2 linked regions of the Lonchura striata genome follow. The protein of the gene in region 2 purifies or fractionates together with the protein of the main gene of each other region. This does not show direct contact. Links are inferred from orthologs where the notes say so. Each region holds a gene or a part of one and is shown on either strand. Other genes may lie near its edges.

Evidence for each region.
Region 1: the proteins of IFT25 (region 2) and IFT22 purify together in Homo sapiens (affinity purification with mass spectrometry; 3 studies listed by BioGRID and IntAct, with this or other methods). This does not show direct contact. The link is inferred for Lonchura striata from reciprocal best matches to the Homo sapiens genes IFT25 and IFT22.

What each region holds. Positions count from the first base shown.
Region 1 is NC_134622.1:4,872,568-4,879,473, forward strand, and holds the start of IFT22 (intraflagellar transport protein 22 homolog), read right to left. Parts: upstream 3,038-6,906; 5' UTR 3,000-3,037; coding exon 2,961-2,999; intron 2,831-2,960; coding exon 2,751-2,830; intron 2,681-2,750; coding exon 2,591-2,680; intron 1,913-2,590; coding exon 1,710-1,912; intron 825-1,709; coding exon 676-824; 3' UTR 1-675. UniProt on the Homo sapiens protein: Small GTPase-like component of the intraflagellar transport (IFT) complex B.
Region 2 is NC_134611.1:8,996,936-9,004,681, reverse strand, and holds IFT25 (intraflagellar transport protein 25 homolog), read right to left. Parts: upstream 2,819-7,746; 5' UTR 2,762-2,818; coding exon 2,664-2,761; intron 2,270-2,663; coding exon 2,163-2,269; intron 1,835-2,162; coding exon 1,766-1,834; intron 1,228-1,765; coding exon 1,184-1,227; intron 726-1,183; coding exon 618-725; 3' UTR 501-617; downstream 1-500. Other genes in the region: LRRC42 (leucine-rich repeat-containing protein 42), read left to right, coding at 4,089-4,561, 6,586-6,717, 7,741-7,746. UniProt on the Homo sapiens protein: Component of the IFT complex B required for sonic hedgehog/SHH signaling.

The DNA of each region.
Region 1 (6,906 bases), on a different chromosome or scaffold from region 2:
CAGAACTTATTTGAGCTCCTAATATAAGTCAGAATATTGCATTAAACCAAGATTTCAATTCCTTCCTCCCAGAGAGACCTAAACAGTGTCCTCACAACACGTTTGTTTTGTTGGAAAAGAAGAAAAACTTAGTCTTGGGAAAGACTGCAGCCTGCTCTGTCCTGCCAAGGCAATGGCTGTGCAATGTGCTCTCCTCAAGGGAACGACAAGGACAACTTGGAACATAAAAACATGGATTCTACACCATCACTTCTTAGATCTCTATTCCAATCAGTTTGTACTTCCAAAGACAAGCCTTCTCCAGCTAACATGAGCACCTCGCCCAGGTGCTTCAGCAGAACTCCAGTCTTATGTTCTGTCAGGCTTTCTTCTCCAAGCAGCCCTGCACAGAGGAATTCTGAAGACATGACCCAAACCTTTGTATTTTGGGCCACAGCAACATGGAAACGCCTTCCTGTGCCTCTGATACCAAAGCGCAGCTACAAAACTGCACTCGGATTCCTGGATGTGCAGCCATCTCCTTGGCACCACAGTTCACTTGATGTCAGACCCTCTTGACAGACTGAAGTATTTGTAGCCTAGAAAATTCTCCTAGGGACGGTTTGTTCACAGGCTAATATAGCTTACAAAGGGAAAATAATGTTTTTTCTTCCTTGTTCAGTATATTTTTTAATATTATGAGATAATTGACATTTCTTCCCTCTCTCTGCTCTCATTTATTATGGTGACAATGCTTCTGAAGTATTTGATAAATTCCATCCGAACATCTTCAGGATCTTCCTCTAAGTTGGAATGTATCAATTTTAGCTTGTTCAGTGGATAAGCTATGAAAATAAATAAGAATAATTAGGTATATTCTTCTTAGAAATAGTCACAATCATGAAACAGCTCAGCTGGAATTCAGTGGCACACAATGTTTGACACCCCAGATAACACAGAACAGGGCAAGGAGAAATGCAGCAGAGTTTGTCAGTGTTGCAAACAAATATAGCTTATTGCCAGATTAAATTCTTCAAAATTTATTATTATTCAAGTGTAAAGTCTAGTTTTGGTCTCATATTCAGTTAAGCAGAATTAAACAAATTGAGCACTGAACTACAGTTTTATTATTAAAGTGATATGATACTCTTTGATTACTTCAAAGAAGTTATGGAATAATATTGTTGTATTAAATATGTATTAATATATTAATACTTATAACAAACATGTCCTTGTTTAAACAGGTTGCCCAGAAGGGAATGTGTGTTTTCACAGCCATAAATAGTCACAAATAATTCTGCAGTATCTAAGGTACCTATTGCTAATTTTAAGATGCAGCTCATTTGCCTTTTATTTTGAAGAGCTCCTGTTCTTTTGGCTGGCAAAATACAGACTTAAATGCCCTAAAGGGTGTCTGTTACACAAAAAAAAAAAAAAAAAAAATCCAATGTAAGAACCAAACTACATCTCATAAGGAAATAAGGCAGGAGTTCTAATTTCTGGTTCAGCTGCATATACACTTGGAGAAGCCACTGACACTTTCCCTTCCCCATTCCCAGAAACAGGAATATTGCTCACCTTTGAAATCCATTATTTCTGCTTTTTCAAAGCACTTTAGTGCTCTTTAATCAACAGATTTAGATGAAAAAACCATGAAGTATTAACAAATTTGAAGTCACAAAGATCAATGAAAAGCTCTGAGCTACAAATGGAGTTCTCCATCTCCTTACCCAAGGACAGGTTTTCTGTGTCCCCTGCACTGCCTGGCTTGTGATGTGCCACCAGGAGACACTGACTGTCAAGCAGTGGCTGCTGCTGCACGAAGCATGAGTACCACATCTCGATTTCTTTCAGGTGGCTGGGCAGCTCAGGGTTGAAGATTATTATTACACCATGAGAGTCCTTCATCAGAGCTGGCCAGCATGTTTCAAACCTTGAAAAACACAGAGAATTGAAAGACTGAGCGCTGTAGAGCAGAAACATGCACTCAAATTTCCTCAAGTTTTTTCCCCTTCTCAAGAACACATTAAGTACTTTTTTAACTACAACATCAGTAACCATGCCAGCTATATATCATATTCCAAGTATTTTGACTTATCTATTGTGACAGTTGATCTCGTGATTTTCTAATTTGATGATTTTCTGACAATGTAGAATTTGGTCAAATGCTCATTAACTTAATTAAACTTTCGTCAAATGCTCATTTTAACTTAATTAAACATTTCCCTAAGAACGGATCATTCACAATTACATTTTAGAAATTAAGGCCTCAATCATATGCACATGTTGTTTGAAGTCCATTCACATAATTTAACGGAGATGAAGGCAATCACAGAGTGGGCCTCTGTCTCCTGTATCTGTAACTTCATTCCAGGAGTTGTGGACTTTACTGTTTGAGTCAGTCCTTATCCAAAACAGAGTTCAGGGGTTATCACGGCAGAGTGTACCTAGTGTTAGATGCTTTACAACAAAAACTATAAAAATATATTGGGGTAAAGAGTCAGGAATTGTCTTCATATCAAACAGATCATTGGCTTGAGCTTTAAGAATATGCTGTAAACAGATCTATCAGGATTTCAGTAACCTGGAGGAAGTAACAATGCCGGCTTACTTCTGATCACCGCTGCAGTCCCAGAGCTCGAACCGACAGCCAGCTCCCTTGCTGCTCCCGCCGAGGCTGGGCTTCTCGTACTCCAGGATCCTGCGGAGATGACGGACACGCGTGGGCTCGATGGCGCGGGCGGCACAGGGGGCGCGGGGCCCTGGCTCACCTGACGCCCTGCGTGGGGCTGTAGCTGCAGATCCCTTCCGTGCTCTCGGACACGAAGTTGGCCAGCACCGACTTGCCCGACTGGCACAACGCGGGGGTGAAAGACACACAGACACACACACAGGAATTTAACGTGCCAGACTACAGCTCACCCAAGCTCCCCGCGCCATCCCTCCCTCCCTCCCTCGCTGGGGCTCCGGGCCGCGCTCACCTCACGGGGCCCCACCAGCAGCACCTTGGCCCTCAGCATGGCGGCCGCGCCGCGCCCCCGCGCGCGCTGCCCGGCAACCGGCGCCAGCGCGCCCATTGGCTCTGCCGCGCTCACGTGACGGGAGGCGCGGGCCGCGCCGTGAGGGGCGGCAGCGCTCGGGCTGTGGGCGGCGCGCTGTGCCCGTGTCCGCGCTGTGCCCGCGCTGTGCCCGTTCCGCGCTGTGCCCGTTCCGCGCTGTGCCCGCGCCCGCGCTGTGCCCGTTCCGCGCTGTGTCCGTGTCCGCGCTGTGCCCGCGCCCGCGCTGTGCCCGCGCTGTGCCCGTGTCCGCGCTGTGCCCGCGCTGTGCCCGCGCCCGCGCTGTGCCCGTTCCGCGCTGTGCCCGTGTCCGCGCTGTGCCCGCGCTCTGTGACCGCTCCCTCCGCGCTCTCTTTACTCCTCCGTCCCCCTCATGTCGCCTCGCCGCCCTCGCAGTGTCCCCGCTCCGTCCCCTGCGTCCTCCCTCCGTCCCCGCAGTGTCCCCTTGGTGTCCCCAGACTGTGCCCGCAGCGTGTGTCCTCGCCGTGTCCCTGCTCTGTCCCCGCGCTGTCCTTGCTTGACAGAACGAGAGGACGCAGTCTTAAGCTGCGCCAAGGGAAATACAGGTTGGATATTAGGAAAAAGTTTTTTACTGAAAGAGTGATAAAGTGCTGGAATCGTCTGCCCGAGGAGGTGGTGGAGTCCCCCCATCCATGGGTGTGTTTAACAAAGCCTGGATATGGCACTGGCTGCCAGGGTTTAGTTGAGGTGTAGGGACTGGGTTGGACTTGATCTGAAAGGTCTCTTCCAACCCGGTCATTCTGTGAATTCTGTGTGCGTTGTCCCCATTGTTCCCTCTCTGTTCCCCTGCTCTGCCCAGCCTGCTCATAGGTCTGCTGGAACAAATGTGGTGTCACAGCAAAAGAGCAAAGGGATCCTTCACAATGTATGTGCTGCTGTGGCCCAGGGCGCTTCGGTAAGGAGGAAATCTTCCTGACATTCCCCAGCTGCTCCTTTCAGCAGGAGACAGTATTTCCAACCACTGAGTTGTGTGAGCCCTGTCACTGACCAGAGCAGGAACAGCTGATGGCTTTTGAGGGCAGAAGTGGGAGAAAGTGCAAAGTCCCTCTCAAACTGTTTTTCTGCCCATAGATACCAATCTTTGAACCATGAGAAGATAAAGCCCATCACTCCTGTGCTAACTTTCAGGGTCCAAAAGTCAATGAAGGATGGAATAGAGACCACCAAGCTCACTGCTGCACCCCGTTGCTGGCCACATCCATGCAATGCTGCTCCTACATTGGCCCCCAGTGCCGTGGAGGGCAGCCCTGGAGGGATGAAACAGGCAGAGGTCAGTGCCCTCTTCCAGAGCCCTCTGTCAATGTGGAATTCAGACCATTCTGCATTGCCCTGGTGTCCCTCACTAGCTCCAGCAGTGCTCTCCTTCCTTGTTTCTTTGCAGTTTTAACAGCAGATTCTCCTTGGAAGGATGATGAAGCCAAGCTCTTGAAGATTCTTATTAAGGCTTGTTAGGAGAGGCAAGAGACTTTTTGAAATAGCAGCTTCTAAGAAAATAAAACATCTGGCAGACAGATGTGCTGCTTCAGAGCTGTTTAGTGCCCAGGTACAATAGCACTTCTAGACAAGCTTTCAAACAGGGCCTCTAGGCGCTACCACAGTGTAAATGTTTATTACCAGTACTGCTAATAAATGTGAACCAGAAATGCTCTGCTCTCACTGAGGGGGTACAGTCTACTCTGTCACAGTGGAGACTCATTTGTTGTTTCACTCCTTGTGTAGGGATAGTTTACAGTGGTTCAGTGTGGCAGTGGCATCCTGATGTTCACATATATTTTAAATATCACAAAGCCCTTTCTTTTCAGCTTTTTGGGACTAAGACAATGAAAAAGCAGTAGCTGCAACTACCTGTGAACTTGATTCTGCTGTAACAGACTGGATGTGTGCTTTCTGTTTGTGTTCTGCATGATTCAGGACCAAATTCACAATGAGTTGGGACAAGTCATAGTTAATTCTTTCCACAGCTTTGTTGTTTTCCACATTTCAGACCCTTAACTTCCAAAGGAAAGACAGAAAGGGTGGCCCAGAGAGAAGAACCAGGACAGCCTCAGCTGGTTTATGGTATTAGCTGACACTAGCACATGAAGAGAAATATGTTATAAAGGGTCCTATTGTGGACACCAGCACAGAAGAAGGGAAAAAAATGCATAAGAGGTAACTGAAACTGGGTAAAACTGGCTGTCTGTGCTGCTGCCCAGAAAGCAATTAGGATTAATTTTTAGATGGAGTGTCAGATAGGGTTTTTGTATGTTTATATTAGCCACTGAAGAGTAAGGAGAGCAGAGCCGACTAAGGGTGCAATTTTTGGATTTATCCATGTGATTTAGGGTTTGAAGTGACTTTAGAAAGTGGGAATTAAGCTTTCAAGCCACTTAGGGTAACTGTTTTCAAAGGCATCTAAGTCAAGTACATTTGATGTTATCAGCATCTGCCTTAGGCATATGGGTAAAGCTATGTTAGTGCCTGGTGTATTGTTTGCTGAGAGCACATGTGTGTGAATCATTTTCCTTCACTGATTTAAAACTCCCTGTCAGACTGCAGTAGGGAGGAAACCCCAGCAATAAGTGATCTATTTACATTGAACTACAGAAAATGCTGGTAATGGTCTTTATGTCTTGCATTTATTAGATGGCAGGTTTTCCACCATAATGTTTCGGTAGCAAGCAAAAATTATCATCTTCAGGTGACTTTCTTTGTAAAATCCTCCTTTTACCCCTCAAAAGCCACTGCAAGATATCAATGATATTTTAATAAAGCTTTTCTATGCTCTAGAAATGCCAGTAAGAACTTGAGTGAGAGATGCAGTGATTGCTGTATGAGGGCAAGTGATGCTTTTTGCCTGAATTGCAGATCAGAGGATATTTGCCTCCAAGGCAGAGACCACTGGTTTTACTGGAAGCAGCAGTAAAATGTATTGCCAGTCAGCTTTTAGATAATACTTGAGCACTTGCAAACCATTCAGCCTTTCAGTATTTTAAGTTTGCATTGTATTTCATTTAATGTGGCACATAAAAATTTTCCTATGAAAACAACTCAAAAAAATTTTTCATAAGCTTTTGTGGCTCAGTATTGGTGCTTTGTTTAATGTACTGTAGCAATGTTTCCAAACTTTGGGAAACATACCCTGGAGCATTCCAGTTGTGTGTGAAAATGCTGCCTGGCTTAGAAATACAACCACATGGCACAGCTCACCATGAAGGGCAGGCTCTGCCTGCTTGCTGTGTGTTGCATGACATTTATTGTGTGTGTGCAGAAACAGCTCTTCAGTGGGTGCAGACAGATACTGGTTCACCTGGAGGCAAGGCATGGAATACAGGGACTGAGAGGAAGGAACACCTATTTTTGAGCATTGTAGGCTGTTATTAAAAATGAAGGAGAAAATCAATATTGTAATCTCAAAGCTTGTTGGTTGAGCAGCTCAGGGCAGGGATGTGTCTCTGGGGCTCAAAGCGTAGCTGATTAAGTAAATGATGGTTTGGATGAAGTGTGGCTGCTCTCTGGAAAAATCTTTGGGTGTAGCTATGGCAAGAGACCAAAGGGAAACAGGACATTAAGGTGCATTGACAGGGGTGCAGTGCAGCCCTGCTCTTTGTCATGAGTCTGTGGGTAACACTCAGTTCAGTCTCTCTCAGGAAACCTATTCTGGAATCAACAGGAACAGCTCATACAAAACCTTATTGCTTTGTTGATGCCAACAGATTGTCAAGGACTTCAACTCTTATTGATCTGTGGCCTCAACATCCTTCCCAGGAGAGATGAGGATCTTTATTTCCATTATATAGATGGAGAAACAAAGCAGAGATGAAAAACAAGACCAAGGAACATGTCTGCCTCTATGGCCACCCTAAGAAAA
Region 2 (7,746 bases):
ACTGATGTATAATTATTAAAAGCCTATAAAAACACTTCATTTGGATTCTGATTATTTCCATTCCTTCCCTGCCTCTCTCCCCCAGGTTATTTCTAAGCATTAGCAGACATTTATATTCATTCTAACAATCTCTGAGTTTGAGCTGATCAGAGAGTTAGCAACTTAAGGACTTCTGAAGAACTTGTTTGACAGTGGAAGTAATACATCCCACTTAAGTAGCTCAAACTTTTTTTCCTATTTAACTCAGAGTGCAAGGGAAATATTTTACAGGAAATTAAGTTTTAGTTAATGTATTATGTAAACCTGATACAAATACACTACCTTAAATGGACTCAGTTACGCTCAGGTGTTCCAGGCTGACAGTTTAGGTTACAAAATGAAAAAGCTGTTACTACAATTAACAACTGCACTGTGTTGTGGTTGGACTTGATGATCTTATTATCTGTATTCTTCTATCCTATTCCATACATTAAACCAGCAAGGAATATATACCACATCCATACCTTCCAAAACCACTTTAATACAAGGTTCTAATAATAAACATTCTCTGCAGTGCAGGTATTGAAATTTAACTTCCTTATAAAAAAATAAAGTGGGGGCCCAAACTTAAGCTGGGCTCAAGTGTTCTCTGCTGTGCCCTCTGCCATCACCCGGTGCACTGACACAAAGTGATCAAAGCCAGATTTGATGATGAAGCGCAAGTAAGTGGCTTGGAACTCAGGAAGCTGCAGAAGGAATAAAATGTCATTGCATCCTCTGTAGTAACAAAACCACCAAAGCACATTTGCAAAAGTTTGTTAAACACGAGGATCTGGGTACTTCAGGGTTCCTTCTTGAACTGCACATAAATCAAGTTCTTTGACCTGCAACTCAAAAAAATCCCATCACCTCCTGAATTCTGTAGCCTTAAAGGCAGCAACTGAAGGAGAGGAAATTGCCACATTTCTGGAAAGGGCCCTTGCACCTCATTAGGAGCACTAGGCAGGTACAATTTCATAGCATAATCTACAGAGGAGCAGCTGGGAAGTGCAATTTCACACCACAATCTACAAACTCCTCCCTTTAACACCAACTGAGCAATAATTGTAAATAGAGACACATTTGGTTTCTTTATGGTTTCTCCCCACTCAATCCAGACATGCCATTTCATGAACCACTACTGATGTACACTGCAAATACTCACTGTAAATTCTTCCATTTGTAGCTGTCCTTCTCTGTGCTGCAAATCTACAAAATATATTTTAAGGTAAACAATGAAGAACAATGTGCAATGCAGTGAAGTTTTCACTGGACTCAGAGTTCAAGTGAGTTCAAGGACAATGAATTTACGCTACATATAGACATTGTTCTTTTTTATTTTTACAGGTGATTTAAGAGAATACATTTTTGCAGTATCCCAGTCTGTGTATGTATATATACATCCCACTCATTACAGTGTTATAACAAAGTCACCCAAGAGGCACTAAAAAAAGCCAATCCCCAAGCCAAACAATCCAGGAAATGGCACTCTATTATACTATGTAAGCCTGTTTTTAATTTTTGGAACATAAAGTGCACAAGTAGCACTTTTAGCCCTTATACAGCAGTTTACTCTCTGAACTGCTGCAGAGACCAGCAGTTAAAAAATTCACTTAAATGTGACTGTTACATTAATGTCTAATAAAATAATCATCACCCCACACTTTACTCAACAAATAGATGAGGGGTTACAGTGATTCACTGAAAAAAACATTGCCCCCCAAAAAGCCCACAAACTCAGTCTTACCTTTTTCAACACATTGTTCAAAACCCACAGGGTCCTTAGATGTGCTTCTTTCAATCCTTAAGGTCCGCACTAAAATATATATCAATTCAAAATATCAACACAAGTTCTGATTCTTTATTGACACTGATATCTATTCCATCACTTTACAACCACAAAACACTTTCAGAGCATTAACTAATTTTTTTTTTCTCTACGCTATGGGGATTGTGGATACAAAGGACAATTGCTTTATGAAAATGAATCTTTATGCAAAATTAAATCTTTATGTAAATTAAATGTTTACAAATCTCTTAAAAGTGGCTACATACCGACTATGACACTACTGTGGGAACTTTTAAGGCACAGACACGCATTTTAATATAGCACATATTTCCTATGGCAAGACACAAAGTCTTACCCAAATAACACTGGATGGCGACTTTGCTGATTTTTACACATTTGGGAAATCCAATAATCAGTTCCTGTGGGAACATGCCCGTAGTCGTCCAAAATGTTTTGGAACTTCTGTAGAGAGAACAGAACAAAATCCTCAACTGAAGCTTTCCATCTATAACCATCTTGAATGAAATATACCACAGAAAAACATGGAGTGGAAAGGAAGGGGAAAAGCGGAGGGGAAGAAGGGTGGAAAAGGGTGGAAAAACAGGGGGAGAGCGAGGAAGGGAAGGAGAGGGACGAAAAGGAATAGGGGAAAGAGGGGGGAAAGGAAGGGGGATGCATTTTTATTTGGGGTGCTTTCAGCAGGGCCCTGTACAAGGACGGGGCCGCTCTCTGGGGCGGCCCCGCACAGGATTGCGACGGCGGCGGGCGCCGAGCTCTCCCACCGTGCGGCGGCTCCAGCGGGAGGGCGAGGGCCGCGCCCGGCGGGCTCCGCTCCCGCCGCCCCCGCCGCCCTCACCCGTCCGCCACGCTCTCGGCGGGGTGCTCGGCATCGCTGGACGTGGCCAGGACCAGCGCGGCCCCCGCCGAGCTCCGGCACCAGTCGGCGGCTCCCATCGCCCGCCGCGGCGCTGCCGCTCCCGGGCAACCGCGGCGGCTCCTCCCCTGCGGCCGCGGCCGCCGCGGGGAGCCGGGCCCGCCGCTGGCCGGGCGGGGCCCCGCTGCCCCGGGCCCCGCTGCGCCCCGCCCGCCGCCCGCGCGGCCCCGCCCGCCGCCCGCGGGCGCCGCGGGGCGGGAGCGCCGAGCCCCGGCCTGGCTGACGGCGCGGCCCCTCCCGGGGCAGGTAGGTGGCGGCCGGGGGGATCGGGGAACCAGCGGGATTCTGGCCTCCCTGCCCGGGCGGAGAGGGGCGGGGTGGGGACCCTTCCCCCGGCGCCCTTCCCCCGGTGCCCCTTCCCCCTGTGCCCTTCCCCCTGTGCCCGTTCCCCCGGTGCTCTTCCCCCGGTGCCCCTTCCCCCTGTGCCCTTCCCCCGGTGCTCTTCCCCCGGTGCCCCATCCCCCGGTGCCCCTTCCCCCTGTGCCCCTTCCCCCGGTGCCCGTTCCCCCGGTGCCCTTCCCCCCGTGCCCCTTCCCCCTGTGCCCCTTCCCCCGGTGCCCGTTCCCCCGGTGCCCTTCCCCCGGTGCCCTTCCCCTGTGCCCGTTCCCCCGGTGCCCGTTCCCCCGGTGCCCTTCCCCCGGTGCCCCTCGGGGCAGTGCCCGCTCACGGCGCGCTCAGCCCCGGGCACAGCCCGATCCCTTCGCAGACCCTTCCCAGCTCCTCTCCGGGTTGGACCCCATCCCTTCGCACCCGGCTCCCCATCCGTCCCGGTACCCCCGGCCCCCCTGGGGCAGGGCCCGCTCGCCAGCCCCGCCGGCCGGGAGGCGAGAGGATCCTGTCCCTGCCCTGCCCCTCGCCAGGGCAGGTCTGAGCTCTCCTGCCCCCCCCAGACCCGCTCGCCAGCCAGAGCCCCCCGGCACCGGGGAAGGGGCGCCGGGAGATGCCCACCCTCCCCGGGAGGGAGGTTCCAGCAGGCTCCATTGCCCAGCTGCAGTCAGACATGTGCCCTCCTCTTCCTCCTTCTCCTGCCTGCAGGAGAACCAGGCCTGGTTGTGCGGGCACTTCCCACTCAACCCCTCTCCCGCTGCCCCTGTCTCCATCCCGGGCCTGGGATCTATCCCGGGGGTCTCAGCCAGCCCGGGGTCCAGCTCCCACTCGGATGGGGTGGGTGGTTTGGTGGCAGGCAGCTCACGCCCCTGCTCCACACAGCCTGCCCTCCTTGCTACGTGGCCATGCTCAGGGCTCTAAGGGGAGCTGCCAGCTTTGGGGGCTTCCCTAGGTCATGTTTTTGACTGTGGCTGTTCTTCACTTGTCTGTGATTTGTTTTTACAGAGCTGGTCGAGGGGAATGTCGTACTGTCTCCACTCAGAAAGCCATTTGGATACTGGGCCAATATACGTGCGTGAAAATGGGAAGCTGCATGTGGTAAATCGGGGTGCAGGCAGCGTACAGAATGTCACTCCCAAAGCAAGACCTTTCAGTCTGTTTTCCAGAACTTTTTCAGTGGAGCTTTGCATGAACAGGGAGGATGATAGGGCAAGGAGGCAGAGGACTGATCATTTCATCTTCACCTACACCAAGGAGGGGAACCTCCGCTACTCGGCCAAGTCCCTCTTCAGCCTAGTGCTGGGTTACATTTCTGACAATGTAGATCACATTGACTCGTTGATTGGTTTCCCAGAGCAGATTGCTGAAAAGCTCTTTTCAGCAGCAGAAGCAAGACAAAAGTTCACAGAGCCAGTGACAGGACTGAGAGCTCTGCAGAAATTCACTGAAGCCTATGGCAGTTTGGTGCTGTGCTCACTGTGCTTGCGGAACAGGTAAGTGTGTCCCCTAACAAATCTTGTCTTCTGCTAGCACACTTCAAACTTCCCCTAAATTAAATTAAATAAAAATACATTTTAGCCTTACAACACCACGTAACATTAATTAAATGCCCTGAGCACTATCTGATTCTTGTGCTTTTATCCCATCCCTTTCCTACAAGTGAAGCTGTAGGTTTCATTTTAAGATACAAATCATAACAGAGGTAACAGACTGCCTCTGCTTTAACCAACAGGGGATCTTATATGGAAGATTAAACCTGCAACTATTTTTAACAATAATAATAACTTCTGTGGAAATCCGTGTGCTGAGTGCCTTCTCAGGTATTTCATGGGATGTCTCTTTAATTGCTGTTTAAAAGCTTTTCAACACACTTAGCTGACTGTACAGATAAAATACACCCCTGCAAATTGTTCAGGTTTACTAACTATAAGCTTTCTGATATGTCTCATTTTGAGGGCTCAGAAGAAGATACAGACTTGTTGGTAAGTTGCAGGCTTTAAAATCAAGCAGATTTTACCTTGTTACCACCCCATATTGGCTGTACTTTAACGAGGTCCTGATTACAGTTCGGCACTAGTTTTTCCATCTTCTCAGTGCCCACATCTTTAACTGAAAGAGTCTTGCCAAGTTTAAAACTGGATTATGTTTTTAAAGCCTTGCTCCTACTGAAGTCTTTCCCAGTAATAGAACCCTTCTCTTCCATCTCTACACTTGAAAAAGGGATGGTTTATCCAGTTTAAAATCAAAGTACTGGCATATTCATCTGAAGTACCAAGGGTGTTCTGAGCACAGTGGGAATGTTTGAGTAGAAGTCAATTATCCTTTGTTTTATCCTTTAAACCTTCTCCCTTTTTATCTCTAGCACAGATAATTTTATGGGCTTAATTTAGAAATTAAGCTACTTCTGGCATCTTTTGCCATTACAGAAAGCTGAGTTAAGCATCAAGTCTTTGAAATCCAGGAAGTAAGGCATTAAGGCATTTTCTGATGAATTTTATTTCTAAGAGCCCACTCTCCAGAACCCCCCTGAGCTAATAATCTCTCTCGAGAACTGGCTTATGCTCTGTTTATTGTGCTTTTTGCAGAGCCAAATTGCACAGGCAAGGGGTTTGAGTGGGGTGGTTTGAGGGGTACAATTACACTGGGATGATATTAAGGTCCTCTTGTTTGCATGGACAAAGAGGTGTTCTTGGAGGGATCAGGTTAATAATCACCCCCAGTATATGCAGTGAAGATGCTGACCTCAGGGTGTGTCTTGCCATGGGGAATACAAGGTAAATTCAGGAGGTATCAGTGAATTTGGAGCTTGTCTTGCCACAGGGACAGCAAGAGGTGACTGCAGGGGAGGTACTGAGGGCTACGTGCTCATTACTGCATACTCATGCCTGCCATTCTTCAGTGGTTTGTTCCCATCTCTGAACCTCCTACTGAATAGCTCCAGCACAGATGTTTGCGTGGCTGCTGAGTGAATCACACCAGGGAACCAGCACAGCTGAAAAAAAACCCAGAGTAACTGCTGCCTCAGCTCTGGCCAGTCCTGGACTTCTACCTCTACTCAAGCATTTTATTGACATATATAAAAACTAAAATTTTGCTACTGAAAGGCTATCCTGTCCTGTTTAAAATCCATGTTTGAGGTGGATTTTAAACCTGGATGAATGTGGGTTTGTCTGTACCTTTCCTAGGAAGAGCAGTTTGTGAAACTGACTATAAACTGAGACATTTTGCATTATTCTGAAATAATACAGCAATAATCTGTAAAGAAGCTCCTAACAGCAATATTTACAAGTTGAATCAAATCTAAACCATGACAGTGATTTAAGGAGAAGACTGGGAATTCAGACTTGTGTGCCAGCTGCACATAAAGAGGTACTTAGTGCAGCTGGGTAATTTCTGTCAATTTTCGCATAGGTACTTGGCAGAAACGAGTGCATTGTGCTTATGGCACTTGGGGATGTGGACTTACATGCCTGAGCACTGAGGGCTTTTTTTTTTTTTTTTTTTTTTGGCTTTGCAGGTACCTGGTTATCTCTGAAAAGCTTGAAGAAATTAAGTCTTTCCGGGAGCTGACGTGTTTGGATCTCTCCTACTGTAAACTTGGAGATGAACATGAGCTGCTGGAACACCTCACCAAAGAGGCCCTGTCTAGGTACCAATTTCTTGAGCTAAAAATGACTCTTTCCTACCACTAAGCAGTTCAAAGAATCAGGCTGAGACTTTAAAGGGAAGTTTCACAGACTACGGAGTGTAAGGTTGAAGATTTTGGTTGTTCATAAAACCTGTTCTGTAGGTAAACAAAATACAGAATTTATTGTGCACAAAGCACATACTGAATCATAAAAAGTACTAAAATTATGCAAGATAATTTACTAGCTCATGTTTTATATAAACTTTTTATAATTTTTATTGTCTAGGTAAAAAATGCATCTTTAACATTTGGAACAGTTTTACATTTCCTATTTTAAGGGGGAACTTTTTCAGCCAGATTTTTAACCAAACTAGTGTTCTACATTAAGATTTCTGCAAGCAGGATGTTGATTATTTGGTTAGTTAACATCTCAAACCAGTAAATTTTGTAATTTTCTTGTGTACAAAAAACTGATGAGTAGATAATTTTGGAAGCATTAGGTAGGATGACTGCTAATTAAGGATATTATGTTACTGTAAGATTTTGGTGCATTTTGCATCAAGGTTTTATCTTGAAGTGCTCTGAAGAGCACTTAAATGTGATGTTTCTTCCTGAGTTTTGTTAATCTGTTATACAACCTCATTATTTTCTTAAAATCATTGCTTATGATCACTTATTGAATCTGTCCTCTCGGTTTGCCAAGCATTTTCTTCGTTTTGAGTGCATTTCAGTTTGGCAGCCTTGGTATAAATAACTTCAGGGTATAAAGAAGCTTATTGTCTCTGTTGGCAAACGTTTGGCTCTAGAATCAGTTTGTCACTGGAGCTGTGGGCATGGCTGCTCAAGTGGTGCTTCTGTTGAGCTAGCAGGGAAATGTAAAGATATTTGTTACTCCTGCTAACCCAGGCTCCTTCCTCACTGCTTTTTACAGTGAGCCTGTAGGGGCTGGCACAGGATGACCCTTCTGACACAGAGTTGTAGGACATTTTCTAAAACTCTGAGAAACAATGGCCATAAATTCCATGTTTGTATCTCTGCTGGCAGTGTGGA